4 linked regions of the Elephas maximus indicus genome follow. The protein of the gene in region 1 interacts with the protein of each later gene in a biochemical or structural test. Links are inferred from orthologs where the notes say so. Each region holds a gene or a part of one and is shown in the gene's direction. Other genes may lie near its edges. The genes, in order: histone H2A type 2-C, USP16, MYSM1 and UBE2B.

Region 1 (5,517 bases):
GGGTGGAGGTATGCATGAACTCTGCCTCATGGGAATCAGCCTTGGGCTGTTGATCTTGCTTCTCCTTTCCTCTTGTGAAGTTAGAGGAGGCCAGACACCTCTGCCACACCACTTTTACACCAACCAATGCACCTCAAATGCAGCCACCACTCATCTGTCGATGGACCAGTTGTGCATGGGTCTCCATGAGTTGGGGGTCAACTCCACAGCAGCTAACAACGTCATGCTGGAGAGCAACAATGATGAAAGAACTCCTCAAATCCTTTTGTGTTCCAGAAAATGGTTTACATACTGCAAAGAACAGACCAAAAGAGCATTAGTAATCTCCTCTGTTTAAATATCTCCTTGACTCCACTCGCCCAGACTTTACAAAGCTCCAGGTGCCTAACTAGAGAATCGCTTATTTCTCTCTGCCTGCCCTAAGGTCTCCTAAGGACACTAAGAACCCCTTAGCTTTTTGAAATCTGAAGTCTTCTGCTTCATCAGAGTAGAACTCAGACGTGGGTCTTTCACTCCCCATTGTAATAGTCTCCCACTATTTTTTTTTTATTGAAGTATTCCTCCCCCACTTCCAGTAGTCCTTCCTCTTCTTTTTTACAATTGTTTTGCAACTGTTTGAACATTGTTTGGTGCACTTTTTTCTTTGACAATAGCTAAGTGCTCAAAAAGTGGTAGAAATTATTATTATAACAATTATTATCATCATTGTTATTAACCCCAATACAAGCAAATGGAGAGCAAGTCGTTTGAGCAAATGAAAAAAATGATCAGAGGCTTTTAGGATTAATCTCACCATCACTGATTGATTACCTTCTCGCTCAATTAAAATATCAACCCCCCCTTCCTCTCTGTAACTTCCTTCTTAGTGAACATCATGCCCAGGAAGAGTCCCTCCACCAGCAACTAAGATTCTCTCACATTAGTGTAAGGATACCAGCTAGAAAACTCCACCACTGCAGGGACAAGCTAACTTGAGCTATGGCTTCTGGGATGTAGAACCAGGGTCCTCCAATCCCACCCTCATGGCTTTTGGACCAGTAAAAACCAAACTCATAGCGACCCTATAGGACAGAGTAGAACCGTCCCATAGAGTTTCCAAGGAGCACCTGGTGGATTTGAACTACTGACCTTTTGGTTAGCAGCCCAGTAAATACACCCTTAATTACCAATCCACTCTCCTCTCGGTTAATATCCTGAGTGCATTCCAAAGAGAACAAAGTAGGTGGCATTTCATTTTAATTTTAAATCATAGATTTTTCCCAATAAAAATCCAGGGAAGGGTCTAGGTTTTCCGAGAATGACCCTACTTTCTTAAATCCATTAAGCACTAAACTAGGAGCTTATTTACCAGAGTTTCTGAGGAGAGGCATCTCTATGCCTCAGTTCCTCATCTGTAAAATGAGCAATTAATAGTAGTGTCTACTTCATAAGGCAGGAGCCATGGTGGCAAAATGCTTAAGCACGTAGCACTTGCTCAGTGGTTTGAATCCACTAGCAGCTCTGTGAGAGAAAAGACCTGGCAATCTGCTACTGTAAAGATTACACCCTGGGAAACCCTATGGGACAGTTCTACTCTGTCCTATAGGGTTGCTATGAGTCGGAATCAACTTAACGGCACACAAAAACAAAACTTACAAGGTTCCTGTGAGGATAAGATGAGTCAACATGTGTAAAAGGCTTAGAACACTGCTTGGTACATAATAAGTGCTCTGTAGATGTTATGATCTACTGAAGTTAAACTTTCTTAGGGATTTTATTTCCCCATCTTGTCTATAATGTTTCTTCTTTGTGGTCACATATTTTTCAGTAATTAAGTGTTAAGAAGGAGTCCTTCAATGGTGCAAATGATTAAGCACTCAGTTAATCAAAAGGTTTGAACCCACCCAGAGGCACCTTGGAGTAAAGTCCCAGTGATCTGCTTCCAGAAAAACACAGTACGAAAACCCTATGGAGCACAATTCTGCTCTGAAACACATGGGGTCACCATGAGTTGGGATGAGTCAGAATGGACTCCACAGCAACTTTTTTTTTTTTTAAGCATTAAGAGGAGAGTTTTAAGAGGCTATTTTAACCCTAGAGGAGTTTAGCTGATGGTTTTATTCATCCTTCAGATCAGAGGCACCTAGTTTTCTCACAGACCCAGTGTTGACTGTATCTGTTAATTTATTGAGGAAGTACACTGCAGATAAAAGAAAACAAGGAAGCTTTTAAATTAACTGGTACCTTTATTAAGAACAATAACATCTATACACATTTAAAAACACACATGTAGGAGACATAAGATTTATTGTCTGTGATAATGTCTGGAATTAATTGGGATTCCTGAAGTCCTTGCAACGAACTCCAGAACTCCTTAGTCAAAAGCAGAGTTGAAAAATCATCCGTTTTCGTCAATAAAAATCAAGGTTTGGAAAAGAGTCAACATCTTTTAATTTCACAAAATAAATCTAAAATGCAATTGTCTTCGCATCTAAGGATACAAAGGTGGACAATGTTAGCTGCATGACTGTGGACCAATCATTTAACTTCTCTCAACCTGATCTGTGAAAAGGATATTGAGCCCCCAGTTCTACCTGCCTCAGAGGGTCGGTCTCTTGAAAAACAAATGAGAACAAGAAAATCAGGATGTGAAGTAGGCAGAAAAGAAGGTGGGGAAAGGATAATTTTGCTTTCCAGCGACCAACGCTCTGAATTTAATGAAAATACTAGAGTTAATATAACCTGGGAAGCATAAAGGAAGAACCTACCATAGCCACAGCTCCTTTGGGGCAGAAAGAATCTTAACACAGGCTCAACCCAGCTGCGGCACTGAGGAACAATTTTGAGGAGGGAACTCCGAAAACATTTCCATTCTCATCGTGCCTCCAGATCCGTCTAACGAAAATAACCCACACCCATCCAGCCAAGGAAGCGATTAAGAGGTGGAATAGGAAAGAAATTCAACAAATACTTATCCAACGAGCATTTGAGTCACCACGTGCCAGGCACTAATTGGCGCCGAAGATATAGTGGAGAGCCAAGGTCAGCAAAGTCTGTCTTCGAGGGTTTGCAAACTGGTTGAGGAAAAAAAAACATAAACGAGAAAACAAACGAACCAATTTCAGACGGCTGCTACGAGGAAGGTAAAACCGGCAAGAACAAGAGGAATGCGGATTCCTGAATGGTTGATCCGGGTCTCTGCGAGATGACTTTTGAAGCAGACCTAAAAGATCACTATCTGGGTTGAAGTGACCTGGGGACGCAGCAAAGCGAACATTAAATCCAAAAACGACCCACAAATCAAGGAAATAATTGGGATTTCAAAGCCCTGAAGAAAGCGGCGCAAACCCGAGTCAGCCAATTCCAGGACGGCAGGATTTTGAATATTCAATCGGTCCAATCACGGGACAGCTGGGAAGCAGACCCGCCGGCTCCGCCCTCAGTGCGCGGAGCCGCTGGCATCCGCAAACAGCCCCATTGCAGGGCAGGATCAGCGTCCATTCGCGCAAGCCGCTCCCAAGCTCTCAGGGGAATTCTTCAGTCGTACAGGGCTGTCGCGGGCCCGGGCTTGTGTCCCGAGCTCATTTTTAAGAGGACCAACCAGAATCAGTTCGTTTCGAACACAGATAAAGCATATTCTGGAACAAAGCCGCCATAAATTCCCAATACCCTTATTTACAACCGACTTCTAGAAAAAAACTAAGCGCAGCGAGGAGCAAGAATGTATCTATGTTGAAAAACAAAGCCAGTCACGTGCCGGGCCCGCGGGTCACAAAAATTTAAAAAGCTACGTGTGCCATCGTCTCTGATCTCTACTTTGTGAGAAGAATGTGAAAAGACAAGTGAATAAAGCTCTTTTCTTGTGACTAGGTGGGTGGCTCTGAAAAGAGCCTTTGGAGCAAAGAGGCCGGCGAACAGTGTGTGCGCCGGGTCCCGCAAAGGGACTCACTTGGAGCTGGTGTACTTGGTGACGGCCTTGGTGCCCTCGGACACAGCGTGCTTGGCCAGCTCGCCGGGCAGCAGCAGGCGCACGGCCGTCTGGATCTCCCGGGACGTGATGGTCGAGCGTTTGTTGTAATGCGCCAGGCGGGACGCTTCCCCGGCGATGCGCTCGAAGATGTCGTTGACGAAGGAGTTCATGATACCCATGGCCTTGGACGAAATGCCCGTGTCGGGGTGGACCTGCTTCAGCACCTTGTACACGTAGATGGAGTAACTCTCCTTGCGGCTCCGCTTGCGCTTCTTGCCATCTTTCTTCTGGGCCTTGGTGACGGCTTTCTTAGAGCCCTTCTTAGGAGCAGGAGCGGATTTGGCCGGCTCAGGCATTGTAAAAGACAACACTGTCCAACAGAGAACAGAAGTTGAGAATGGGCGGGCCTGATCATTTTATAACCATCTTATGCAAATTAGGGCTCCAAAAGTATTTAGTTTCTATTGGTCAAAGTAGTGGGCCTTGCTTTTCCAGTAATAGCTACGTAAGAAGAACTCTTGATTTTATTGGCCGTTTGTGGAGCGATTTAGGGCCAATGAAAATCTCGCTCCTAACTCCACCCCTAAGAAAGCTTATAAAAGCTTTCCTAGGGCTGTTTTCTTAATCTTGATTTTGCACATTTCCCGTTTGGCAATGTCAGGACGCGGAAAACAAGGAGGTAAAGCTCGTGCTAAGGCCAAATCGCGCTCCTCCCGTGCAGGCCTGCAGTTCCCGGTGGGCCGAGTTCACCGTCTGCTCCGTAAAGGCAACTATGCCGAGCGGGTGGGGGCCGGTGCGCCCGTCTACATGGCGGCGGTGCTCGAGTACCTGACAGCGGAGATCCTAGAGCTGGCGGGCAACGCGGCCCGGGACAACAAGAAGACGCGCATCATCCCCCGTCACCTCCAGCTGGCTATTCGTAACGACGAGGAGCTAAACAAGCTGTTGGGCAAAGTCACCATCGCCCAAGGCGGTGTTTTGCCCAACATCCAGGCCGTTCTATTACCAAAGAAAACCGAAAGTCACAAAACCAAAAGCAAGTAGATCGCGACAAAGTAAGCCAAAGAACAAAGGCTCTTTTTAGAGCCACCCAAGTTTTCAAAGAAAGAGCTAATGCGCTATTTCGTGATCAGCCCTTCATTTGACACTTTGGTGGCTCTTAAAAGAGCCTTTGGGATGACGAGGGATGGTATAAAGGTTAATTATTTATTCTTGCCAGGTTTGTGACTCTCCGTTTTCTTGGGTAACAAGACAGCCTGGATATTTGGCAAGACGCCGCCCTGAGCAATGGTGACACCTCCGAGTAACTTGTTGAGCTCTTCGTCATTTCTCACGGCCAGTTGCAAATGGCGAGGAATGATGCGCGTCTTCTTGTTGTCGCGGGCCGCGTTCCCCGCCAACTCCAGGATTTCCGCCGTCAGATACTCGAGCACGGCCGCCAAGTACACAGGCGCGCCTGCACCCACGCGCTCGGCATAGTTGCCTTTGCGGAGCAGGCGGTGTACTCGGCCCACCGGGAACTGAAGGCCAGCGCGTGACGAGCGCGACTTGGCCTTTGCGCGTGCTTT
Region 2 (7,931 bases), on another chromosome or scaffold:
GGGATGCTCTGGCTGTACTTCCTCTATGACAGACTTACTCTTTCTTCTGGTAGTCCAGGGTATATGCAATATCCTTCTCCAACACTGTAATCTGAAGGCATCAATTCTTCTTTGGTCTTCCTTATTCATTGCCCAGCTTTCACATGCATATTAGGCGATTGAAATATCATGGCTTGGGTCAGGTGCACCTTAGTCCTCAAGGTGACATCTTTGCTTTTTAATACTTTGAAGAGGTCTTTTGCTGCAGATTTGGCCAATGTGATACATCATCTGATTTCTCAACTGCCGCTTCAATGGGTGTTGACAGTGGATCTGAGTAAAATTAAATTCTTGACAACTTCCATCTTTTCTCTGTTTATCATGATGTTGCTTACTGGTCCACTTGTGAGGATTTTTGTTTTCTTTATGATGAGATGTAAGCCATACTGAAGGCCGTAGTCTTTGATCTTCATCAGTTAAGTGCTTCAAGTCCTCTTCACTTTCAGATGTAAGCCATACTGAAGGCCGTAGTCTTTGATCTTCATCAGTTAAGTGCTTCAAGTCCTCTTCACTTTCAGCAAGCAAGGTTGTATCATCTGCATATCACAGGTTGTTACCAAGTCTTCATCCAATTCTAATGCTGCATATAGTCCAGCTTCTCTGATTATTTGCTCAGCATACAGATTGGACAAGTATGTTGAAAAGATACAACCCTGATGCACACCTTCCCTGACTTTAAACCATGAAGTATCCCCTTGTTCTGTTTGAACAACTGCCTCTTGGTCTATGTACAGGTTCCTCATGAGCGCAATTAAGTCTTCTGTAATTCCCATTCCTCGCAATATTATCCATAATTTGTTATGATCCACATTGGTGAATGTCTTTGCATAGTCAATAAAACACAGGTAAGCATCTTTCTGGTATTCTCTGCTTTTAGCCAAGATCCGTCTGACATCAGCAATGATATCCCTTGTTGCATGCCTTCTTCTGAATCTGGCTTGAATTTGTGGCAGTTCCCTGCTGATGTACTGCTGCCACCGTTTTTTCATTATCTTCAGCAAAATTTTACTTGCATGTGATATTAGTGATATTGTTCGATAATCACCGCATTCTGTTATATCACCTTTGGAATGTGCACAACTATGGATCTCTTCCAGTCAGTTGGCCAGGTAGGTGTCTTCCAAATTTCTTGACAGACTCGTGAGCACCTCCAGCACTGCATCCGTTTGTTAAAACATCTCAGTTGGTATTCTGTCAATTCCTGGAGCTTTGTTTTTCACCAATGCCTTCAGTGCAGCTTGGACTTCTTCCTTCAATACCATCAGTTCTTGATCATATTCTACCTCCTGAAATAGTTGAATGTCGTCCAATTCTTTTTGGTACAATGATTCTGTGTATTCCTTCCATCTTCTTTTGATGCTTCCTGCATCATTTAATATTTTCCCAGTAGAATCTTTCCATGTTGCAACTGGAGGCTTGAATGTTTTCTTCAGTTCTTTCCAGCTTGAGAAATGTCAAGCGTGGTTTTCTAACTCCAGGCCTTTGCACATGTCATTATAATACTTTGTCTTCTCAAGCTGCCCTTTGAAATCTGTTCACATCTTTTATATGATCGTTTCTTGCATTCACTTTAGCTACTCGATGTTCAAGACCAAGTGTCAGAGTCTCTTCTGACATCCATTTTGGCCTTTTCCTTCTTTCCTTTTTAATGACCTTTTACTTTCTTCATGTATGATGTCATTCCACAACTCGTCTGGTCTTCAATCATTAGTGTTCATTGCATCAAATCTACTTTTGAGATGATCTCAGTTGTAATATACTCAAGGCCTTAGTTTGGTTCTCATTGACTTGCTTTAATTTGTTTCAACTTCAACTTGCATATGAGCAAGTGATGGTCTAGCTCCACAGTTGGCCCCTTGGCCTTGTTCTGATTGATGACATTGAGGTTTTCCATTGTCTCTTTGAACAGATGTAGTTGATTTGATTCCTGTGTTTTCCATCTGGTAAGATCCATGTATATAGTCACGATTTATATTGTTGAGAAAAGGCATTTACAATGAATAAGTTTTTGGTCTTGCAAAATTCAATCATGCTATCACCAGCATTGTTTCTATCACCAAGGCCTTATTTTCCAACTACCAATCGTTCTATTTTCTAACTTTCACATTCCAATCACTGAAAATTATCAGGGCATCTGGATTGCATGTTTGGTCAATTTCAGACTGCAGAAGTTGGTAAAAGTTTTCAATTTCATCTTTGGCGTTAGCGGTTGGTGTGTAAATTTGAATAACAGGCATATTAACTGGTCTTCCTTGTAGGCATATGGGTATTATCCTATCACTGAGAGCTCTGTACTTCAGGATAGACCTCGAAATGCTCTTTTTATCAATGAATGTGATGCTGTTCCTCTTCAGTTTGCCATTCCGGCATGATAAGACCATAAACCAAGAAAACCAAACCCACTGCTGTTGAGTCGATTCTGACTCATAGCAACCCTATAGGACAGAGTAGAACTGCCCCGTAGAGTTTCCAAGGAGTGCCTGGAGAATTCGAACTACTGACCTCTTGGTTAGCAGCTGTAGTACTTACCACTACGCCACCAGGGTTTCCATAGTAGACCATACCATTGTCCAATTCAAAATGGCCAATACCAGTCTATTTCAGTTTACTTATGCCTAGGATATGATCATCAATCATTCCATTTCATTTTTGACAACTTTCAATTTTCCTAAATTCATACTTGGTTCGTACATTCTATGCTCTGAATACTAACAGATGTTTGCAACTATTTCTTCTCATTTTGAATCATGCCACATCAGCAAATGAAGTTCCAAAAAACTTTACTCCATCCACGTCATTAAGGTTGAATCTACTTTCAGGCTGTACCTCTTCCCAAGTCATATTTTGAGTGCCTTCCAACCTGAAGGGCTCACCTTTCAGCACTATGTCAGACAATATTCCACTGCTATTCATATGATTTTCACTGGCCATTTTTTCAGAAGTAGATAGCCTGGCCCTTTTTCCTAGTCTTAATCTGTAAGCTTAGTCTGTCAGTATGTCATACTGTGGTGGCTTGCGTGTTGCTGTGATGCTGGGAGCTATGCCACAGGTATTTCAAATACCAGCAGGATCACGCATGGTGAACAGGTTTCAGTGGAGCTTCCAGACTAAGACTGAGGTAAAAATTGCAAATGGTGAAATGCACACCTTAAGCATACATTTGCTAAGTCTGCTGAGTTACACCTGTGTAACTCAAACACTGTGAAGATAAAGGACATTACCATAACCTCGGGAAGTTCCTTCGTGCCCCTCTCCAGTCGGTCCCCTCGCCCAACTCCCCAAGAGAAAACAATTACTCTGACTTTTTCCCACCATAATTAGTTTTACCTATTGTAGAAATTCATATGAATGGAATCATACGGTACCGTTTTTTTGAAGGCTTCTTTCACTCAGTATATTTTAAAGATTCATCCATGTTCTGCTCAGTAGTTACTTTTTATTGCTTAATAGCATCATATTGAATGAAGAATACACCACAGTTTTTCCTTTTGTGTGTGTGTGTGTGTGTGTAGAAATCTAGGTTTTTTCACCTTGTTTTCTGTACATGGCTATTATGAGTAAAGCTGCTATGAACCTTTTTGTACAAACATTTCATGTGCAATGACCATTTTCTTCAAAAATTTTTAAAGTGCTTATTATGTTGTAGGCACTTCTAGGTATTGGAGACATAGCCATGAATAAGACAAAGATGTAGCAGCTCTCAAGAAGCTTACATTTGCACATTTGTGTGTATTTGTGGTGAGGTGGAGGGGCAAGTATACAGGCAAGTATGAAAGAAAAATACCTGATAGTAGTAATTGCTTGTCAAAGAAATAAAACAAGGTGATGTGAATGATCTGATGGCCATTTTATATAGGTCACTCAGCAAATACCTCTGCAGGGAAGTGACTTTTCAGGTGTGAAAATACTAACCATGATAGATCAAGGGGAACATCATTCCAGGAGGGGAAACAGGTGGTACAATGCCTTAAGGGTGTGTTTTTGAACAGGAAACAACAACAAAAAATGCCAGTGTGGCTGAAGATGTGCAAACAAATCTTAAAAAATTATATCTCAGTAGCAGTAAAGGACAGGAGAACAATTTACGACCAAATGTAACTAAACGTTTTTGTCTTGTCCATCTAGTACTGATTACTAGCAACGGTATTTTTTCATGTATATTATGACCAACTATTCTTTTTTGGTCAATTACTTGTTTACATTCCTTGCTTATTTTTCTATTGGCACTTGCATTTTTTTTTTTCTTGCTGAATTTTGCGTCTCCTCTATTAACAAATTCTAGGAGGGTGAAGCCTATGTTTAACTCACTTAGCACGGGGCTTGGGACAAGTGGGCACTTACATATCTGAAGGAATAAACACTACAGGTTTGACAATTTTATCTTCCTTAGTTCTCTGATCTTTTTGAGTTGTTTTAAATCTCCTTCACTGCTTTACCTTTTTATTCTGATGTATTACAGCAAGTTAGTTCAAGACAATTTACGTACTCAATTTTAGAAGTATAGGTTAGAATTAGGGAAACTGCGTGAAATTTCAATGTTCCGTTCCCCTCTGATGGAGACTTCACATGTAGCGAGTTTAAGAAAGGTAACTTGGAAGACACCGGCAGTCATTTGTTTATATTCAAGTAGGAGGTCCCGAACCTCTAGCCCTCACTACCAAACCCAAACCAAACCCACTGCCTTGAGTCGATTCCGACTCACACCGACCCTGTAAGTAGGCACCCACAAGCCCCACACACTTACATAACCCCACAGTCGTACTGGAGTAGGGACTCTCTCAGGAGTTGAGGCCCCCGGACATCCGGCGCATGTGTGCGCAGGCGCCATTCACAAGTTTCAGTGAGCGGAACCCTGGGCGGAAGCCTCTTCCCATAATGCCGTGTCCCGGAAGTTGTTGCTTTCTCGGGGTCACTGGGCTTCGGGCATACTGTCGCTCACTAATCGTCTCCGGGAGGAGGACGGAGCTGGGTGCCCAGCCCACAGGGCCACTAGGGGATGCAGTTATGGGCGCTGTCGCCGTGGGTGAGTTCTGACCCCGCTGACTCGCAGTCACTGCTCACATGACTGCCTGCGCTCTGAGGGACCCGAATTTTCTGCCCCAACCTCGTTCTGTTTTCGACGGCCTGTTCTCCTTAAACCCATTACCCGGCCCCGGCCCGGTCCCGTGTTCTTATTGGCTGTATGTCCTGTCAGTTCCAGGAGCTGACCCGTCAGTCGCTGGTGCTGGCGCCCCTTTTGACCCCGTGGACCCCGAGGTTCTCCTGTGGGTGCAGAGCAGTTGGAAAGGAAGGGCAGGTGCCGCACGAGTGGGCGGGTGGCGCGCTGCTGGGAGCACCCAATGGCTGCGGCTGGGTTTGCAGCTGCGTCCACGTTCTGATTGATAGGATAGCCGAGGTCCGTCACCTACCCGACTGAATGCTCCCAGGGGAGGATCCAACTACCCAAAACTTAAAAGCCACGTTTAAGACCTGCTGACGATGTTTCCCACACACTTGCATTTTTAATAGAACGGAGTAGGCAGGGGAAGACTAGCTTTGATTTAAATTTCGTGTGACGTGGGTCCTGGAAAGAGTAACTTGGCCAAGCATCTAATTCTTTTCCGAAGACACTCCTGAAATTTTAATAGATTTTTTTAATGGCATTCCCAATACTCTCTTCTCAGATTCATTAAACGCCTTTTATAGTTGTCGAAATTTTACTGAAGTTGTTTCCACAGCGTTGAAATGATGACCCCCTACTGTCTTCTGCCTGCAGCAATTACAGTTCGTCTTCCAAGTTTTCCTTTGGCGTCTGGGCTTCTGCAGTCCTCAAACCAGATTTCCTAGTGCTGTCTTCAGTGCTGCAGACCTCTTCACTCTCCACCCTTTTCTTTTTCACCAGAACTTGTTTGCTTCATTCTTATGTATCCATCTTTGCACCTTATAATCATCCTTTATGGCTCAGGTACCATTCTCTTTTTCCATTGCAACACAAGAAGTATTTCTTGAGAGCCTTCTGTGCACTAACACTCTACTAGATGCTGTAGGCAATTCAGAAGAAATGCCTAAAAGCTTTCTTTTTTCTAGAACTTTAGATTTCAGGTAGAGAGGTAACATAGGGCCAGACTAAAGATTTAAGAAGCAGTTTGCTCTGGTATCTCATTGGGAACAAGATGAATAACAGCAGAAATGCTGCGGAAGCTCAGTGTGGAGTTCATTCAGAGTAGAAAAGCTGGGTCAGGTTTTGTTGAGATGGAGAGCTTAGAGGATTGGTAAGATTTGGACAGATAGAGACAACATTCCTGCTAGAAATCAAAGGTATAGAGGTGAGGGCAAAGGGTTTTGGAGTGGAAGATACTGAAGAGACTGGCTAAATTGTAATGGAAAGAGCCTTGGAACCTAAAGATCTGGGTTTTGGTTCCATCTCTGTTGCCTTGTCATCTTTCATTGTTTTATTTCTGAGTTTCCTCATTTAGAGAAGTGCCTAGTTTGAAGAGTTGCTGTGAAAGTCAAATGAGATGTTTGTTAAAGGGCTTTGAAGACTCAAAAAAAAAAAACCAAACCAAACCCGTTGCCATCAAGCTGATTCCAACTCATAGCAACCTTAGAGAACAGAGTAGAACTTCCCCCTAGGCTTTCCAAAGAGTGGCTGTTGGATTTGACCTTTTGGTTAGCAGCGATAGCACTTAACCACTGTGCCACCAGGGCTCCTGAAGACCCAAAGCACTATATAATTAGAACTTTATATTGAAATGGAAAATGTTTTGTTATATATGCTGAGTAATTTTATCATACACACACACACAAACATTAAAAACAAACAAAACCCAAAAACTTAGTGGTTCTTTGTTGAGGAGTAATGAGAATCAGGATTACCAGAGTGCTGGGGCCAAACTATTAAGGACCATGAGTGCAAAACCTAGGAGTTTGGTTAGAGAAACTGTTAAATGCTTACAATCAAGACAGTGATGTGATGAAAATGACATTATTGGAAGATGAATTTGGTACTGGCATGCAGCATAGAATAGAGGGAGTTGGAGCTATTTTTTTTTTCTGTAAAATATATGATTTATTCTAGGTGAAATAAATTACATGAAATGTGATTTTTAGGATGAGTAATAGTACATAAAATGTACATTGGTTTAATGTATGTACAGATACTTTGCGTTCCTTCATTGTTAGTTTATTCATTTATTTTGTAAACATTTTAGATTATCCTTGGAAGGATTTTCTTACCAGTTACTTGATGTGGCACTTATTTTTTATACAAGTCTTTTTGAATTACGTTACCTTCGATTACACTAACCTGTGAAGAACTAAAAAGAGGAATACATACATGTACGACTCTAAGCCAGAGCAGTGATGACAGCTACATACCAGAATTAACTGGGCAGTGTTTCAAAACAGGTCCCAGGGCACACTCTCCACATATGAAATCAGAATTTTAATAAACCTTCCAAGTAAAACAACTGTTATGGAGTTAGTCATTTAAGTGATTTTGACACTCATAAATTTTTTTTTTAGTACATTTAAAATACAACTTTTCAAAACCATTATTATCATGTAAAAGTTAGGTAGATTTGTCTGTACTTTCAGCACTTTCCGTATTTTCTAATTATGAATTGTTAATTAAAGAAGCGAAGATTTGATGTGCAGCTCGGGGTTTGTCATAGCCTCCCAAAGTGGTTTTGGCAGTAATATAACAATGTAAATAGTTGAGAATGCAGTTGTGATCAGTTCTCTGCTAGCCAATAAAACTCATTGCCTTCAAGTTGCTGCCGACTCCTAGCGACCCTGTGTCCTACCCCCCATCAGGGTTTCCAGGGAGGGGCTGGTACATTCAAACTGCTGACCTTTTGGTTAGCAGCCGAGCTCATAACTCCCGGGCCACCAGGAGATCCTGGAATGGAAAA
Region 3 (7,085 bases), about 81 Mb from region 1:
TAAGTTGGTTCCAACGTATAGCAACCCCATGTGTTACAGAGTAGAACTTCTCAATAGGGTTTTCTTGGCTGTAATCTTAACGGAAGCAGATCACTAGGCCTTTTCTTCCATGGTACTGCTGGGTGGATTTGAACTGCCAACCTTTGGGTTAGCAGTCGAGCACAAACTGTTTACACCACTCAGGCACATTTTAGCTGTGGTATTTATACTGCAATAAATATATATACTATGATAAATATATGTATGGTGAAAAGTAAATACACACAAACACTATATAGAAGACAGAAGAAGAATTGATGCTTTCAAACTATGGTGTTGGTGAAGAATATTGAACATATTGTGAATTGCTAGAAGAATGAACAAATCAGTCTTAGAAGAAATACAACCAGATTGCTCCACAGAAGCAAGGATGGTCAGACTTTGGTTTGCTTACTGTCTTAGTTATCTAGTGCTGCTATAACAGAAATAACCACAAGTGGATGGCTTTAACAAAGAGAAATTTATTCTCTCACAGTCTAGAAGGCTAGAAGTCCAAATTCAGGGCACCAGCTCCAGGGCAAGTCTTTCTCTCTCTGTTCATTCAGGAGAAAGGTCCTTGTCATCAGTCTTGCCTTGTTCTAGGAGCTTCTCCACGCAGGAACCTCAGGTCCAAAGGATGTGTTCTGCTTGCAGCACTGCTTTCTTGGTGGTATGAATTCCCCATGTCTCTCTGCTCGCTTCTCTCTTTTATATCTCAAAAGAGATTGGCTCAAGACACAACCCAACCTTGTATTAACATAACTGCCACTAATTCCGTTTCATTAACGCCATAGAGATAGGATTTACAACATATAGGAAAATCACATCAGATGACAAAATTGTGGACAATCACACAATACTGGGAATCATAGGCTAGCCAAATTGATATGTATATTTTGGGGGGACACAATTCATTCCATGACACTTACTTTGGACATGTCATCAGGAAAGACCAACTGTTAGAAAAGGACACCTACAGAGTCTATTAAAAAAAAAAAACTGTTAAATTTTCACTGATCGATATCCTCCTCCAAAGTATGATACAGGAGACAGTTTATTCTAGACTAAGAGCCACTCCTCCGTGATCCCACAGTAGCCTGTAAGTCCTCCCTCAGACAGCTTATTGCATTGTCCTGAAACTGCATTTTTGATTGACTTTATGAGGGCAGAGACTGAGTTGGTCTTGTTCAATGCCATTTCCCCATTCCCAAGCATGGTAGGAGTGCAACAGATATCTGTGAAACATGAATCCTGAATTCTGCTTTCAAACTACTTGGTGGGAAAATGGATTTTTAAACAAGTCCCATGGTTACAAGCCTCTAGAATGGAGGGTTTTAAATAATAGGCTAAACTTCTGGCGTTCACCTGCTTGGGAGGTTATAGGTTATATATCCTGGCAGATGGGGTTGGGCCTAGGCCCTTAGAAGACTGCTTCACATAAAGCCAACTAACCAGGAGCATGGACTAGGGTATGTGTGGGGAGGCTTCAAACTAATCTCTTTGTTGAGGGAGACCTATAGATGACTTGGGGCATGAGTGGATTCTGTGAAGACATTTCCTTCCTTCTATGTAAATTTTAATGCCTACTGAAGGCTGGCAATTGACCAGGGAAGCCTTTAGTGCTGTGTTGCAGGGACATTTTGCATATGATATTCTGTGTTATGCTCCAAAAAACCAGTTGCTGTTGAGTCAATTCTGACTCATGGCAACCCCACGTATGTCAGAATAGAACGATGAGCTACAGGTTTTTCAATGGCTGATTTCTCAGCAGTAGATCACTAGGGCTTTCTTCTGAAGCATCTCTCAGTGGACTCACAACTTCAAACTTCCACTTAGCAGCTGAGTGTGTTAACTGTTTGCAGCACCCAGGGGCTCCAATTTATGCTCTAAGAGGTAACATTCTCATCTGATATGACAAGCATCCAGGCAGTCCTGCCAGGGTCCCAATTCCTGCCTGCTACGTAAAGATCAAGGAAAACCATATACACTCAAAAAACATTTTAGAGTGTCTGCTCTGTGCCAGGTATGGTGCTAACCATTGGGACTGGTCATTGGACAAGCCCTTTGACAACAGGAACAGCATCCCCAGGGTGGCCTGAGAATGAGGCCTTAGCAGTATTCAGTTTCTGAGCACTGGCTCTCGCTCCTTACATTCATAGGGCATCTTATGTCCCAAGCACAAACAAAGGTGAAAAGGAACAGAGAATAGTGTGGGATGTGAGCTCATTTCATTAACTGATTGACTTATTCATTATCCCTTCAATATTTATCGAGCACCTACTATCTACGTGTCAAGGGGCAGTGATGGCTCAGTGGTAGAATTCTCTCCATTCAGGAAGGAGACCCGGGTTCAATTCCTAGCCAGCACACCTCATGCACAGCCATCACTCCTCTGGCAATGGAAGCTTGCATGCTACTATGATGCTAAACAGGTTTCAGCAGAGCATCCAGACTAAACTGCACTAAGAAGAAAAGCCTGGCAACGTACTCCCAAAAGTGAGCCAATGAAAGCCCTATAGATCACAACAGTCTGATCACAATGGATAATGGGATAGCGCAGGACCAGGCAGCGTTTCCTTCAGTTGTGCACAGGGTCATTATGAGTCAGGGCCCCACTCGACAGCACCTAACAACAACTATGTGTCAGACACTGTCTTAGCTATCAGTGCTGCTATAACAGAAATACCACAAATGAATGGCCTTAACAGAAATTTATTCTCTCACAGTCTAGGAGGCTAGAAGTTTAAATTCAGCGCACCAGCTTCAGGGGAAGGCTTTCTCTCTCTGTAGGTTCTGCGGGAAGGTCCTTGTCATGTCTTCTTCTGGTCTAGGTGTTTCACAGTACAGACTCTGGGTCCAAAGGACATGCTCCCTCCTGGCTCCTTTTTCTCAGTCCTATGAGGTTCCCCCGTCTCTCTGTTCATTCCTATCTTTTATATCACAAAAGAGACTGACTCAAGACAAAACTTAATCTTGTAGATTGAGTCCTATCTCATTAACACAACCACCTCTAATCCTGACTCATTGACATCACAGAGGTAGGATTTACAACACATAGGAAAATCACATCAGATGACAAAACGGTGGACACAATACCGGGAATCAAGGCCTAGCCAAGTTGACACATATTTCTGGGGACGCAATTCAATCCGTAACAGACACCATGCTGAATGTTGGTAGTGTAAGCACTGACAAACACAATTTTGTCCTTAAGAAATTCAGAGTCTAATGAGGAGGCTGACAAGAAAACCAACAATTATAATTACGTGAGTGATAGATTCTAAGGTAGAAGAATGCATAAGACCAATATTTAATTTCTTGAGAGGCCATAAATTCCTTTAATAGAAAGGGTGTTTATCTTCCACAGCTCCTAACAATATGATTTGTGCAGGGTGAGCACCCAGTAAAGAGTCAGAAAAACTGGGATTCTGATCTCAGCTCTGACTTTGACAAGCTGTGCATCCTTGGAACGGTCATTTCACCTTTCTGAGCTCTGTTTTCTCATTTGTAAAACATGAGTGATGATAACAGATCTGCCTGCCTCACTGAGTTATTGTAAAAATTCATAGTCATAAGAGTAATTTTTTAATTGTAAAGATCTCTACAAAATAAATTATGCATTCATAAAGCAATATTTTTAAATGTTTGTTGGATTTTAAAACAGAGGTCGTTCAGCACTTTCCATAAATGTTGAATGACCCTTTTCCTATAAATATTTAAAAAATAAAAGTGATAAAACTTAACCAATAGGTAAGGCTCCCTCATAGTTGCCACCTTCATAGTTCACAAATCACCCTCTGACTGGACCTCTCCAGCAGTCCAGAAAGACATCTGCTATTATCCCCATTTTACAAATCAGAGCAATGAGGCATCAAAGAATTTGTGCTAGAACAGAAGCTCTAAAAAGTCCGGGCCACTGCCACTCCCCAAAGCTGTTTACTGAAAGGAACAGATCTGCAGGGCCATTCCCCTGGAAGCCCCGCCTCCCCGGCATGGGCGGGGCTGGACGAGGCTTCACCTCCTCCCCTTGACGCATCCGGCCCCGCCCCGGCTCCCCACCTCTCGCGGGATCTCTCCGGAGGACCGGACCGGGTCAGGCCGCATCATGGCGGCTGAAGAGGCGGATGTGGACATCGAAGGGGACGTAGTGGCGGCAGCAGCACAGCCAGGGTGAGGCGAAGACACTGGGTCTCGTTGGGGCGGAGAGGGGCGCGGGTGCAAAGAGACGGCCCTGGGAAGATCGCGGGTGCGTTAAGGGATAGGAAATCGGAGACCCTCCGCTAGGCCCGCCGCGCCCGCTGGCGTGTCCTGATCCCAGCGGGCGGATACTCGGCGCTAAAGTGGGGATGACTGTTTCACCTTTTTGCCGAAGTGCTGTGACGACGCCGACTTCACCTGGCATGTTGCACACCCGCTAACGATTATATCCCTCCTCTCTCTTCCGCCGCAGTACCTTCCCAGTTATCTCCGCAGCCCCACACCCGCCGGTACTTGCCGTAGGGGCGTTCCTGCAGTGTCTAGAACGGGACCTGAGCACGGGGACCCTTGTTCTAGCCTTCGCAAGCCGCGATGACCTTGAGCGAGTCGTTTCATCTCTTCTAGCCACAGGGTTCCTTTTTTCACATGGAGGTAGTTGTGAAAAACTTCTGACTGAAAGGCAGCTTGACTTACAGGCTTTAGAGTTGGACAGCTCTGGGTTTGCCTTCTGCATTTACTGGCCCTGCCTTAACCTTGGACAAGGTACTTAACCTGTCTGACCCTCAGACCTCCTGTGTAAACCGAGAATCATCTTCAGGTTGTTGTGAGGACCGAATGAAATAATTATTCTGCGTGCTTTGGTATATGGTAGATGCTCTGTAAACGTATTCTTTCACCATCCCTACCCTGGGTATTGGGAGGACCCAGCGAGATATCTCAATTAAATACTGATTGCTGCAGAACAGCCCAGTGTGGTTTTAAACAGCAACCTCAGCTTGGAAGATCTGGTCCTTTGGCTTCTTGCTTCCCTAGTAAGGAAATCCATAGTACTGTTTTTTAAATAAGGAAATCAATATGTACCATTTTAAAAATGTTCTTCCAGTGTCTCCTTTTAGTAAAGGAAGAGGCCTAGAGTGGCCAGGAATCCAAGACCTGAGTTCTGAACTCAGCTGGCCATGTTGTTTATGTTGTGAACAACTTTGTTAATTTATTAGGCCGAACCGTGTAAAATTGCCAGTCTTTGACCTTTTTGATGGGCACGCTGGAAATTTTATATGGTTCAACTGTATATCAGGGCCTCTGTGAATTGGGAAAAAAGTACCAACCCTGCCCACGGGGGGGCTAAGATAGTGGCCATAAAAGTGTTTTGTGAACTCTACCCAAAACCGAAACCAAACCCACTGCCATCGAGTCGATTCCGACTCATAGCGACTCTATAGGACAGAGTTGTGAACTCTAAAGCACTATTAAAATGTGAAGGGTAATTAAACTCATATGGTCATTCTCCCTGAATCTTTAAGGAAAACAGCCGAAAGCTATGCAGATGAGTAGGGAGCCTGTAGTAACAGTGGTTGTTCACATTTGCGTAGTGTTTAAAACTTGGCCAAATGCTTTTACATGATTGATTTAATTTCCTTTTCACATGTTCATAAGATAAGTGGGCAGGAATATTTAATCTGTAGTCCTGAGAGATATGAGTGGCCTTGGAAACATTAAAGAGCATTGGCTCTGCCAAAGTCCACCCAGGTTCTTTATTTTTTTATTGTGTTTAAGCCCCCTCCCCGCTTCTCAGAGCCCTGGTAGTACAGTGGTTAAGAGCTCAGCTGCTAACCAAAGGTCAGCAGTTTGAATCCACCAGCTGCTCTTTGGAAACCCTATAGGGCAGTTCTACTCTGTCCAGTAGGGTTGCTGTGAGTCGGAATCAACTCGACAGCAACACGTTTCGGCTCCCCTTCTCATTCTTTTTCTCTTGTTACTCTGCTTGGGTTTTCTGTCTACCAGCAGCAGCTGTGGTCATCTTAGTCTCCTACAAGCAGATTTACAGAGATTTTTGATCCTTGGTCAGAGCCATTGCCTTACAGAACTCCAAGGAGCATCATTTTTTTTTTTTTTCATGGTGTTGGAGCTCTATTCACAATGGAATTTTGTGTGAATGGTGCCCCCTGGGAGCCCTGGTGGCGGTGGAGCAGTGGTTAAGAGCTCAGCTGCTAACCAAAAGGTCAGCAGTTCGAATCCACCAGCCACTCCTTGGAAACTCTGTGTGGCAGTTATGGACTGTCCTATAGGGTTGCAATGAGTCAGAATCAACTTGTTGGCAACAGGTTTGGGTTTGTTTGTTTGTTTGTTGGCGCCCCCTGAAGTATGCAGATTAACTTAAAACATACTTTTTAAGCATTTCTTAAGTAATAAGTACCAAAGTTAGAAGATGGCGTTGAACTTTTTTGGTTTCTGTTTTACTTCTCCTGCCATTCCTTGTTATTCTCCTTTTCTTCTGCTCAACCTTTAAATCAAGTTGTTCCAAAGGACTTTTGTCATAGGACTTCTACGCTCACTACCCACACAGTCCCTGGTGATGCCATCTTAAGACTTCAATTTCTTTTAGGTTGAACCTTATGAAATTTTGCCAATGTTCAACCATTTTTGAACTACAAAAATGGCGGTTTCTTAAGCTCAACCTCATATATACTGGTGTTTCCCAAATCTGTCACCAACCCAAATTTCTCTCCTAAGCTTCAGATTTATTTATTCAACTCTCTAAATCTGTCTGTAGTTGTGTTCCACAGGTACCTCAGTCTCAACTTACAGTTTTTACTGCCACACCAAACCTGCCTCTCCAGTGTTTCTCGTTCAATAAATGGGACCAGCATCTACCCATTCACTCGAGGCATAGACCTGAACCTTATTCCTTTTCTTCCCCCCTCCCCGCCGCATATACTCCCTCCATCTTGTCAGCCGTTAAGATCCTGTTGTTTCTGTATTAAGTATCCTCTAAAATGTATTCACTTCTTCCTATTCTCACTTCTTATTTCATAGGTATAAGTTACTGTGAAGGAGCTCTGGTGGCACAGTGGTTATTCTCTCAGCTTCTA
Region 4 (7,730 bases), on another chromosome or scaffold:
CAATAGAGTTAAAGAAAGAACTAGAGATAGTCTCTGGGAAAAGGTCTTCTAATTACATTTTCACTTATGGTGCACAGAGTTCTCTTGAGGGCAGGGACTATCTCTTACATCTTTATAGTCCCAGAATCTAGCACAATGCCTTGCACAAAGCAGTCATTTTTATTCAATATTCATTATACTAGAATATTTCTGAGTAATTATTTCACAACACTTGGCATAGCTTTTGTTAAGTTATACACAAGCACATGCATCTTTTATCACTATAAAATTACAAAATGTTAGATAATAAACGGAGTATCACACTTGTTTTTCAGTTAATGTCTTAGCACATGTGTTAACTGAAATATTCTTGTAAACAATTTTTTTTATTTTCTAACAATTTCTCTTATGATTTATAGAACAATTAAGCAAAAGAAGCAAACCTTTAGAAACTTTATTTCTCTCGTTGCGATTTTGTTGACAGATTTTTCTGGTTTCTCATAAAATATCTTAATGGCCACTATCTGCCCAGTAACCTTATGTTTACACTTCATGACTGTTCCATAACTTCCCTCTCCCACTTTTCCAAGGGTTTCATACATCTCCATTTTAAAGTCTGGCTTCTACTTCCTCAGAGAAATAAAGGAAAAAAAAATGTTAAACGTTTATAGTTTTATTTATTCAAGCTGGATAATGCATTTCCAAAATAAACCCATACTTTCAAATACAGAAACATAGAAAAAATCACGAATCTTTTCCACAGAATCTGTCTTTGAGCACTCCGCCAGCCCGCCAATGAAGTGTTCCTATGGGGCTCCTGCCCTTACCAGAACTTATGGCTCGGCTGCCTCGGTTATTCCCATTAACACTGAGGTTCCCTTACTACGTGTCACCCATCTATGAAGTGTGTAGTCCCAACACTTCCTGTCATTCCTTCGTCAAATATTAGGTCCCCGCACCACTGCAGCTCCCACACATCAGGCCCGGGACTGAGGAAAGCATAAGTCCCGCCCGCTCCTCAAATCCGACGTCTAAGGTCCTGGACCGGAGTCGCGCCCCTCACCCCGCTGTCGAGTTAGTCCGGGCAGCCACCGCCGCCTCAGCCCATTCTGCAGTCCTGTCAGCCTAGCTCCGCGCAGTCCCAGCCGGGCAACGGGACACGGACCCGCCTCTGCCAGCCAACCCCGCCAGCTCGCAGCCGCCCGCTACCATGGCAACGCAGCGACAACACTCTGCCCCTAGTGCGCAAGACCGGATTATCGGCCGGGTCCGACCCGGAAGGAAAGTGAGAAAAAGCGGAAAGGGCTCCTGGAGCGCGCTAAAATGGAAGCTTGCTTGGGGATCCGTTGGGGTCTTGGTGGGTTTGGCTTCGCTCAAACTCGGGGCCTCCTCACAAGGTTAGTTTTGAGCGGGATGGGAAGCATCCACATTTTGACAGCAGCATGAGTGTGTGGCATGCGTCGCGGACGCCACCAGGCTGGAGAACACCCGCCGCTAAAAGAATGGCTGTTGTCATTAAGCTGTGATAGTTTGTAAAGCGAGACTTCCAAGAAAGTCTTGTGTGGTTTTTGTTTTTTAAGTTACTTAGTACAATACTATTCCATGGACCTGAGTTTGACCTCAGGTGTTGACATTCATCCTTAAACGGGTATATCATCAAGAATATTTCGTGAACACCTCTCTTTAAAATTTCTTCCAACTCCTAGTAATCCTTTTTAAAAAAGTCCCTCACTACATGTTAAAATAGCCCCTTGGGGAAAAGACCCTGAAGAAAGTAATTCAAAGGATTTTACCACACACAGGGAGTGACATGCAATAGCACAGAGAAAAAGGGGCCAGTGTTTAATTGCTTAAGGACTGGACATAGGGTTCAACTGTAGTGACAGCTTAAAAATGAATAACTAGAGTAATGCCGAACAAGTACCTAGGAAGTACTGCCTTTCTCGGGGTTTTAGTTTCTTCTGTAAAATGAGATAAGTGTATAAGGTCAAATCCCACCATGCTTCCTCTAAATAAATTATTATCTAATATTGTTATCTAATAAATCTAGCCCAGTGCTTCCCACCCCAACATGGACATTAAAATCACACCTGGATAGCTTTTAAGAAGTCCTCACTCCCAGAAATTCTGATTCACTTGGGATGGGGTAAAGGAGAAAACCCTGGTGGTGCAGTGGTTAGGTGCTATGGCTGCTAACCAAAGAGACCCTAGTTCAAATCCACCAGGCGCTCCTTGGAAACTCTATGGGGCAGTTCTACTCTGTCCTATAGGGTCGCTATGAGTCGGAATCGACTCGACGGCACTGGGTTTGGGGTAAAGGAATTGGTATTTTAAAAGTTCCTCCAAGTGTTTCTAATATGCTGCTACGGTTTAGAGCTTCTGAGTGGGGAGAGTGAGGAGGAATGATCCTGGTTTTCCTTTTCATTAGCAAAATATTCAGAGTCGTCTTTCCTTTTGAAAAGTTACTCAACAATGTTTAAAAATCCTTGTAATCTATGAGTGTCAAAGTTAATCTTTGCCCAGACTTGCTGTAAGCATATTTATTTAACATTTATTGTGGGTTAAATATTTGTAAAGAACAGAACATGAATCAGACTGGTCTCTGCCCTCAGTGAGCTCACAATCTAGAGCCACAGAATTGTTCAAAACAAAAAAACCAAAACCATTGCCGTCGAGTCAATTCCATACTGCCGACCTTTTTGGTTAGCAGCTGTAGCTCTTAACCACTACTCCTGCCAGGGTTTCCACAGAATTGATAAGACTATACAATTTCAGAAACCCTGGCAGCAGTAATGGTTAAGTACTACAGCTGCCAACCAAGAGGTCGGCAGTTCGAAACCACGAGGCACTCCTTGGAAACCCTACAGGGCAGTTCTACTCTGCCCTATATGGTCACTATGAGTTGGAATGACTCGATGGCAATGGGTTTTATACAGTTTTAGCTTGAAATTATTCATTTTACAAATAGGCTGTGGCAGGCTTGGAGACCTGAACAGCCAATGATTCTTCCTTATACATCGCTCTAAGACTATGAAGATCCTTGACAGAATTTGTCAAAAATGTTACTTCATTTTGGAAAACCATGTACAATTAAAATTGCTAGATAAATTACATCACAGGGTTTTTAAAAAGTAACTCTTTAACCTTTTTTCTTTAGCATTTCACTGCGTGGTACCCTATACCGTCTGTTTTACTCCCTAGCTGTGGAGAATATGGTAGGAAGGCAAAAAAAATCAGCTTTTGACTTAGAGAATCACATTTGTGATTGAATAGCAGGACCTATCAAGAGTTAGGCCTAGCTAGCTTGATCACCAAGGCTGTTACTAAAAGCTAACGATAGAATTCAGGATTTGAAAAAAGGGAGGTACCAGTAAAGCTAACCCTTCCTGGTTTCTTGGAAATACAGGCAAGCTGAAGAAAGACTGATACAATGCAAAGAAATTTCCCTGCCTTGAGCTGAAGAATTTGTCAAGTAAATATGAAAAATTGCTGAGAGTCATCCTGAGCAACAAAGACCTGGAGTCAGTTAAAGACTATAGCTGGAGGAAACTCAGTGAAGAGAAAATGGCACAGGATGGACACTTCTTGCTCATTTGGGCCTTGCTTGGCTAGTGTAGAAAACCAGAAATGAGTTCTCTCAGGCTAGATATATAAATAAGTCCCACCCATGTCAGCACATCTCCCGCAGATCTGAATCGTATTTGTAGGTTTCTTTAACAACAGATCACCTGTCGCACCCTCGCAGTTCTTGACAAATACGATTCCCTACCGTAGCCCAACCCATGGATTCTTAACACAAGTCCTCAAATGAGAGAACCATACAGGAAAAACAAAACTTTTAATTCCGTGCTTATTTTAAACAACAACAACAAAAAAGCCGTGGACAATCTGTACACCGTTTTTTAATCTTTGCCCAGAATTTCCAATCCTGAAAACTCCACTGCAAAAGAAAGAGGCTATTTGATGACCTAAGGAAGAATTTCGGGGGATTTTGTTTCGTGTGGGCCTCAGCATTTAATGCTGCGCTTATTAAAAGATCGAGAAAGTCCCTACACTACTACTTTGCCTTAAGAGCCAGACTGATTAACCACTGAAACAACGAGAGGGAATTTTATGTCCAAATTATTTTGGGCTCCATTTTAAAGATTTAGAAAGACAAACCTGCTTCCGGCATGACCTCATCGATAATGTAGTCCCTGTACGTGAGACAGACTGATACAGGTGTACCCCACCCTAATACCCATAAACTTGGGTACCCGCATCATAGAGCTGGCTGAGACTGATTCAGGCGGCGGTCCCACGTGATCCATTCTAATCGCGTCATAGGGACGCGTGGTTCTAGCTACCTCACCCCTCCCCGTCAGGGGTGGATTGTTGACAACGCCGCCGGTGTCACGTGACCTGACGTCATTCCACCTCCTTTCCCTGAAGTCCCTGGACCCGGATGCGTCCGTCTCTCCCCACCCAGCCGAGCCTAAGTCAGTGAAGGGGGGAAACAGGGTGGTGTTTCGGTCACGATGGCTTTTAATCCAATGGGTCTAAGCATAAAGAATACCAACTTGTCGAGGAGTTCAGGAAGCCAAAATGAGAGCGGTCCTTGCTGAGAGGCTCCCGGAACGTGCTCTCCTACATCCCGCCCTCGCTCACCTTGTCCCCCTCCCCTCCCTCTGTGGTACTGGCGGAGGGCGGAGGGATCTGGAGGCGGCGGAGGGAGACGTCATTGCAGGGTTGTTTGTGCAGCGCGGCGGCGGTGACCCACAGTGACTCGGCCGCCGCGCCGGGGGGTGGGGGGGGCTGTGCGGAACTCTTTTCTTTCAGACTGACCGCGGGGCAGCTTGGAGCATGTCTACCCCGGCCCGAAGGAGGCTCATGCGGGATTTCAAGCGGTAAGGGCCTTCACCTTCACCTGGCCGACGGCTCCTTCTCAAAGCTATGGAGCTGCAGGGCGGGGACCTCGGACACGTTCCCCTCACGACCCTAAGGGGACTGGCTGTGGGCCCTAGCGGGATCGACGGGAACCCAGTGGTAGTCTTCGCACCCACTCCCTCTTGCTGTTCCTTAGCGGCGTTAGAAATCTCGATATCCTCCCCCTCTCAATCTTAGCCAAAAAAAGTAAACAAAAAAGGTGGCTGTCGCCGGCCTAAGGTTCCCTGCTGCCCACTTCTGCCAGCTTCCCGACGTCTTGTCCAAGCGCTCAAACCTTATCCTCCCGCCCCTGCACCCTACTGCGCCCTTTCTCTGCCTCCCCAAAGTGAGCTCTGATGCAGAAGCTTGTTCCCTGTCTGCTGAACTCGTCAGCTTTGTTCAACAGCTCCACGTTCTCCTTTGAGGGCCAGAGGTTGGGGTAAAGGTCCCCCTCCCCCCGCCTCGTCATTCCTTTTCTTTCAGCATTGAGGGTGGGGTCTGAAGTGAGAGGCCCGGAGGTTGCTAACCCATCCCGCGAAACCCGACTCTGCCCCCGCCTGCCTGAAAGGACCTTGAGAACTGGCCGGGAGGCCTGGGCCCCGGGCTGCCAGCTCCGGTGCCAGTGCCTTCTGGTGTATAAAGCCCTATCTATAATCTCCAAATCCTTCTGGAAACATGCCTTCTGTCAAACGGGCGCTAACCTGATACTCCCTGGGCCTCTTTTTGTAAAGTAGGGCTTTGTTAGGAGGTGTTACGGTTACTGAGGAGGAAATGATTTTTTCAGTTGTTTACCTCTTACTGAATACCTGGAGGTTGAGAAAAATAAAAATAAGGGGTGAGAGGATTTAGTACCGCAATTCTCTGCACAAGCCACAGTTTTCTGGGGGAGTGTAAAAGGTTAAAGTAACCTCCCAACTTTCCCATTATAAAGCCGTAGTTGAGGCATTTGGAAACTATTGTTTCGGGCTTTGCCCAACTTAGCTGAAATCACTCAGAGCTTCTCTTAGCTGTTCACCTCTGATGAGCGTCAAGCAATGTGTAGTTTCTCTAAGGGTCTTATTCTTCGTGGCTTAATATCCTTGAGGTGGAGTAAAAACCATTTTTATGTGGACTAAAGGGGAAAGTATCATGCCACATATGATAATAATTGATAGATGATAGAGCTTTTATTTAGATGACAGTCTTTAAAAGAATATACTTTGTTTAGTCCAAAAGTCTTTCTAAAGTTTGAAATTTGTAGATTTCAGATTAACTCTTATGATTGGAATTCAAATACTAAAGCTTGCAGAGCCTGTCCGTTGTTCCCCTACTTGCTTACTGTTTTTCTCTGCTTAATTCTGGATTGAACACATGGCCCCCTTGGTAGTTTTCCAGGGGTTATGAGAATTTGTATTGGATCTCCTGGTTTGCCGGGTATGATTTGGTTTTTAGTATAGAGCCCTAAAATAGACCAAACTGAAGCTTCAGATTACTATAAATGCCATCGCTAACTGAAGCAAATGTGATAAAGGTGCTCTCCTTCCTAAAACTGATTTCCTAATTAAAAGAATATGAGCAAAAAATAAATAAGCACTTGCAGTCCTTTAGCATTTACACTTAGGTTGTGTGTGTGTGTTGCACACGTAGCTGTGGTTAGGAGTTTCAATCTTTGTTTAGAGCAGCAGATCCTGTTCTGTAAAAATATTTTTGCACTTGAGTTTGTGTGTTTTGCTTTTGGTTTTTTTTGTTGTTCAGGAGGACAGTCTGTATGCATCAGTTTTTCAAGAGATCATATCTTAACCTTGAAAATACTTGAAAAGGATGAATCCCAAGCCCTTGGGACTTATAGAAAATTTGCAGAGATATTTAATAAGTATATATACCTTTTTTTTTTTAAGTCAGGTATAGTTCATTCCAGCTCAACATAAGCTAAGGAAATTAGTTTGTGTCGCCAAAGTAGATGATACAGAGAACGTCGGTGTTTCGTTTGGCCTCCTTGGAGTCCTTAGTGTTTGATTTTTAAAGTTACTACTATGGATTCCTAGGTTGCAAGAGGACCCACCTGTGGGTGTTAGTGGCGCACCATCTGAAAACAACATCATGCAGTGGAACGCTGTTATATTTGGGTGAGTTGAAAGGTAACAATAGGTGTGGTGATTCTTGAGAAAAGTTAATATGTAACAAATGTCTAGAAAAAAGACTGAGGTGGAATCAGGGACCTGAAGGACTGAAACTGCAAGATAAATTAGAAAAAATTTTTTGGTTAAGAATTTTGGCACTTACATAGAATATATTTGCGCTTTAGCATTACATATTGATTTTATAGTCATTTTGGTTTTACTTAATGAAAAATACCATTTGAAACTAAATTGAATAATAAAGGAGAAAAGATAAATTCTTTTGTACAAAATGTACCAGGTAAGTATTCTGCTCACATTTTATTGCGACTGTAAAAAGGCTTGGAACCAAAAACATTGTGAACTTTCTCTATGGCGAGAATGTAAATGAAAATGTTTCACAGCCCAGTGTAAAATAACTGAATGGATCCATTTGATAAACAGCCTTCTTACAAATGATATGTTTTACATATATGCCTTTTAATTTAAATTTTCCTTAATGCCTTTTTTTTTTGCCCCTGGACTTGATCCTTTTTTTCTTTCATTTTTTTTAAACTAGGGTTTTGGACTAAAATTTGAAATTCAGATTTGTTTTGAAGGAATGCGTTGGTAAAAGAAATTCTCAGTTGCCACAGAATCAGTTACAAGAGTATACGTTAAAAAAAAAAAAAAAGACTAGAAAGAAAAAATTAAAGAAGCAAAACACTGTTTTAAAGTGACCATCCATTACATTCAGACTGTTAACTGTTT

The links.
Region 2: of the proteins of histone H2A type 2-C (region 1) and USP16, one has a biochemical effect on the other in vitro, tested with the Homo sapiens proteins (2 studies listed by BioGRID). The link is inferred for Elephas maximus indicus from reciprocal best matches to the Homo sapiens genes H2AC20 and USP16.
Region 3: of the proteins of histone H2A type 2-C (region 1) and MYSM1, one has a biochemical effect on the other in vitro, tested with the Homo sapiens proteins (2 studies listed by BioGRID). The link is inferred for Elephas maximus indicus from reciprocal best matches to the Homo sapiens genes H2AC20 and MYSM1.
Region 4: of the proteins of histone H2A type 2-C (region 1) and UBE2B, one has a biochemical effect on the other in vitro, tested with the Homo sapiens proteins (2 studies listed by BioGRID, with this or other methods). The link is inferred for Elephas maximus indicus from reciprocal best matches to the Homo sapiens genes H2AC20 and UBE2B.

Annotation. Positions count from the first base shown.
Region 1 is NC_064821.1:184,028,447-184,033,963, forward strand, and holds histone H2A type 2-C, read left to right. Parts: upstream 1-4,566; 5' UTR 4,567-4,603; coding exon 4,604-4,993; downstream 4,994-5,517. Other genes in the region: histone H2B type 2-E, read right to left, coding at 3,925-4,305; histone H2A type 2-B, read right to left, coding at 5,152-5,517. UniProt on the Homo sapiens protein: Core component of nucleosome. Nucleosomes wrap and compact DNA into chromatin, limiting DNA accessibility to the cellular machineries which require DNA as a template.
Region 2 is NC_064836.1:32,781,207-32,789,137, reverse strand, and holds the start of USP16 (ubiquitin carboxyl-terminal hydrolase 16), read left to right. Parts: upstream 1-4,908; 5' UTR 4,909-5,062; intron 5,063-7,931. Other genes in the region: RWDD2B (RWD domain-containing protein 2B), read right to left, coding at 4,784-4,867. UniProt on the Homo sapiens protein: Specifically deubiquitinates 'Lys-120' of histone H2A (H2AK119Ub), a specific tag for epigenetic transcriptional repression, thereby acting as a coactivator.
Region 3 is NC_064821.1:103,010,982-103,018,066, reverse strand, and holds the start of MYSM1 (deubiquitinase MYSM1), read left to right. Parts: upstream 1-4,065; 5' UTR 4,066-4,123; coding exon 4,124-4,188; intron 4,189-7,085. UniProt on the Homo sapiens protein: Metalloprotease with deubiquitinase activity that plays important regulator roles in hematopoietic stem cell function, blood cell production and immune response.
Region 4 is NC_064820.1:146,804,840-146,812,569, forward strand, and holds the start of UBE2B (ubiquitin-conjugating enzyme E2 B), read left to right. Parts: upstream 1-4,710; 5' UTR 4,711-4,821; coding exon 4,822-4,865; intron 4,866-6,908; coding exon 6,909-6,989; intron 6,990-7,730. Other genes in the region: CDKL3 (cyclin-dependent kinase-like 3), read right to left, coding at 423-602, 4,141-4,161. UniProt on the Homo sapiens protein: E2 ubiquitin-conjugating enzyme that accepts ubiquitin from the ubiquitin-activating enzyme E1 and transfers it to a E3 ubiquitin-protein ligase. In vitro catalyzes 'Lys-11'-, as well as 'Lys-48'- and 'Lys-63'-linked polyubiquitination.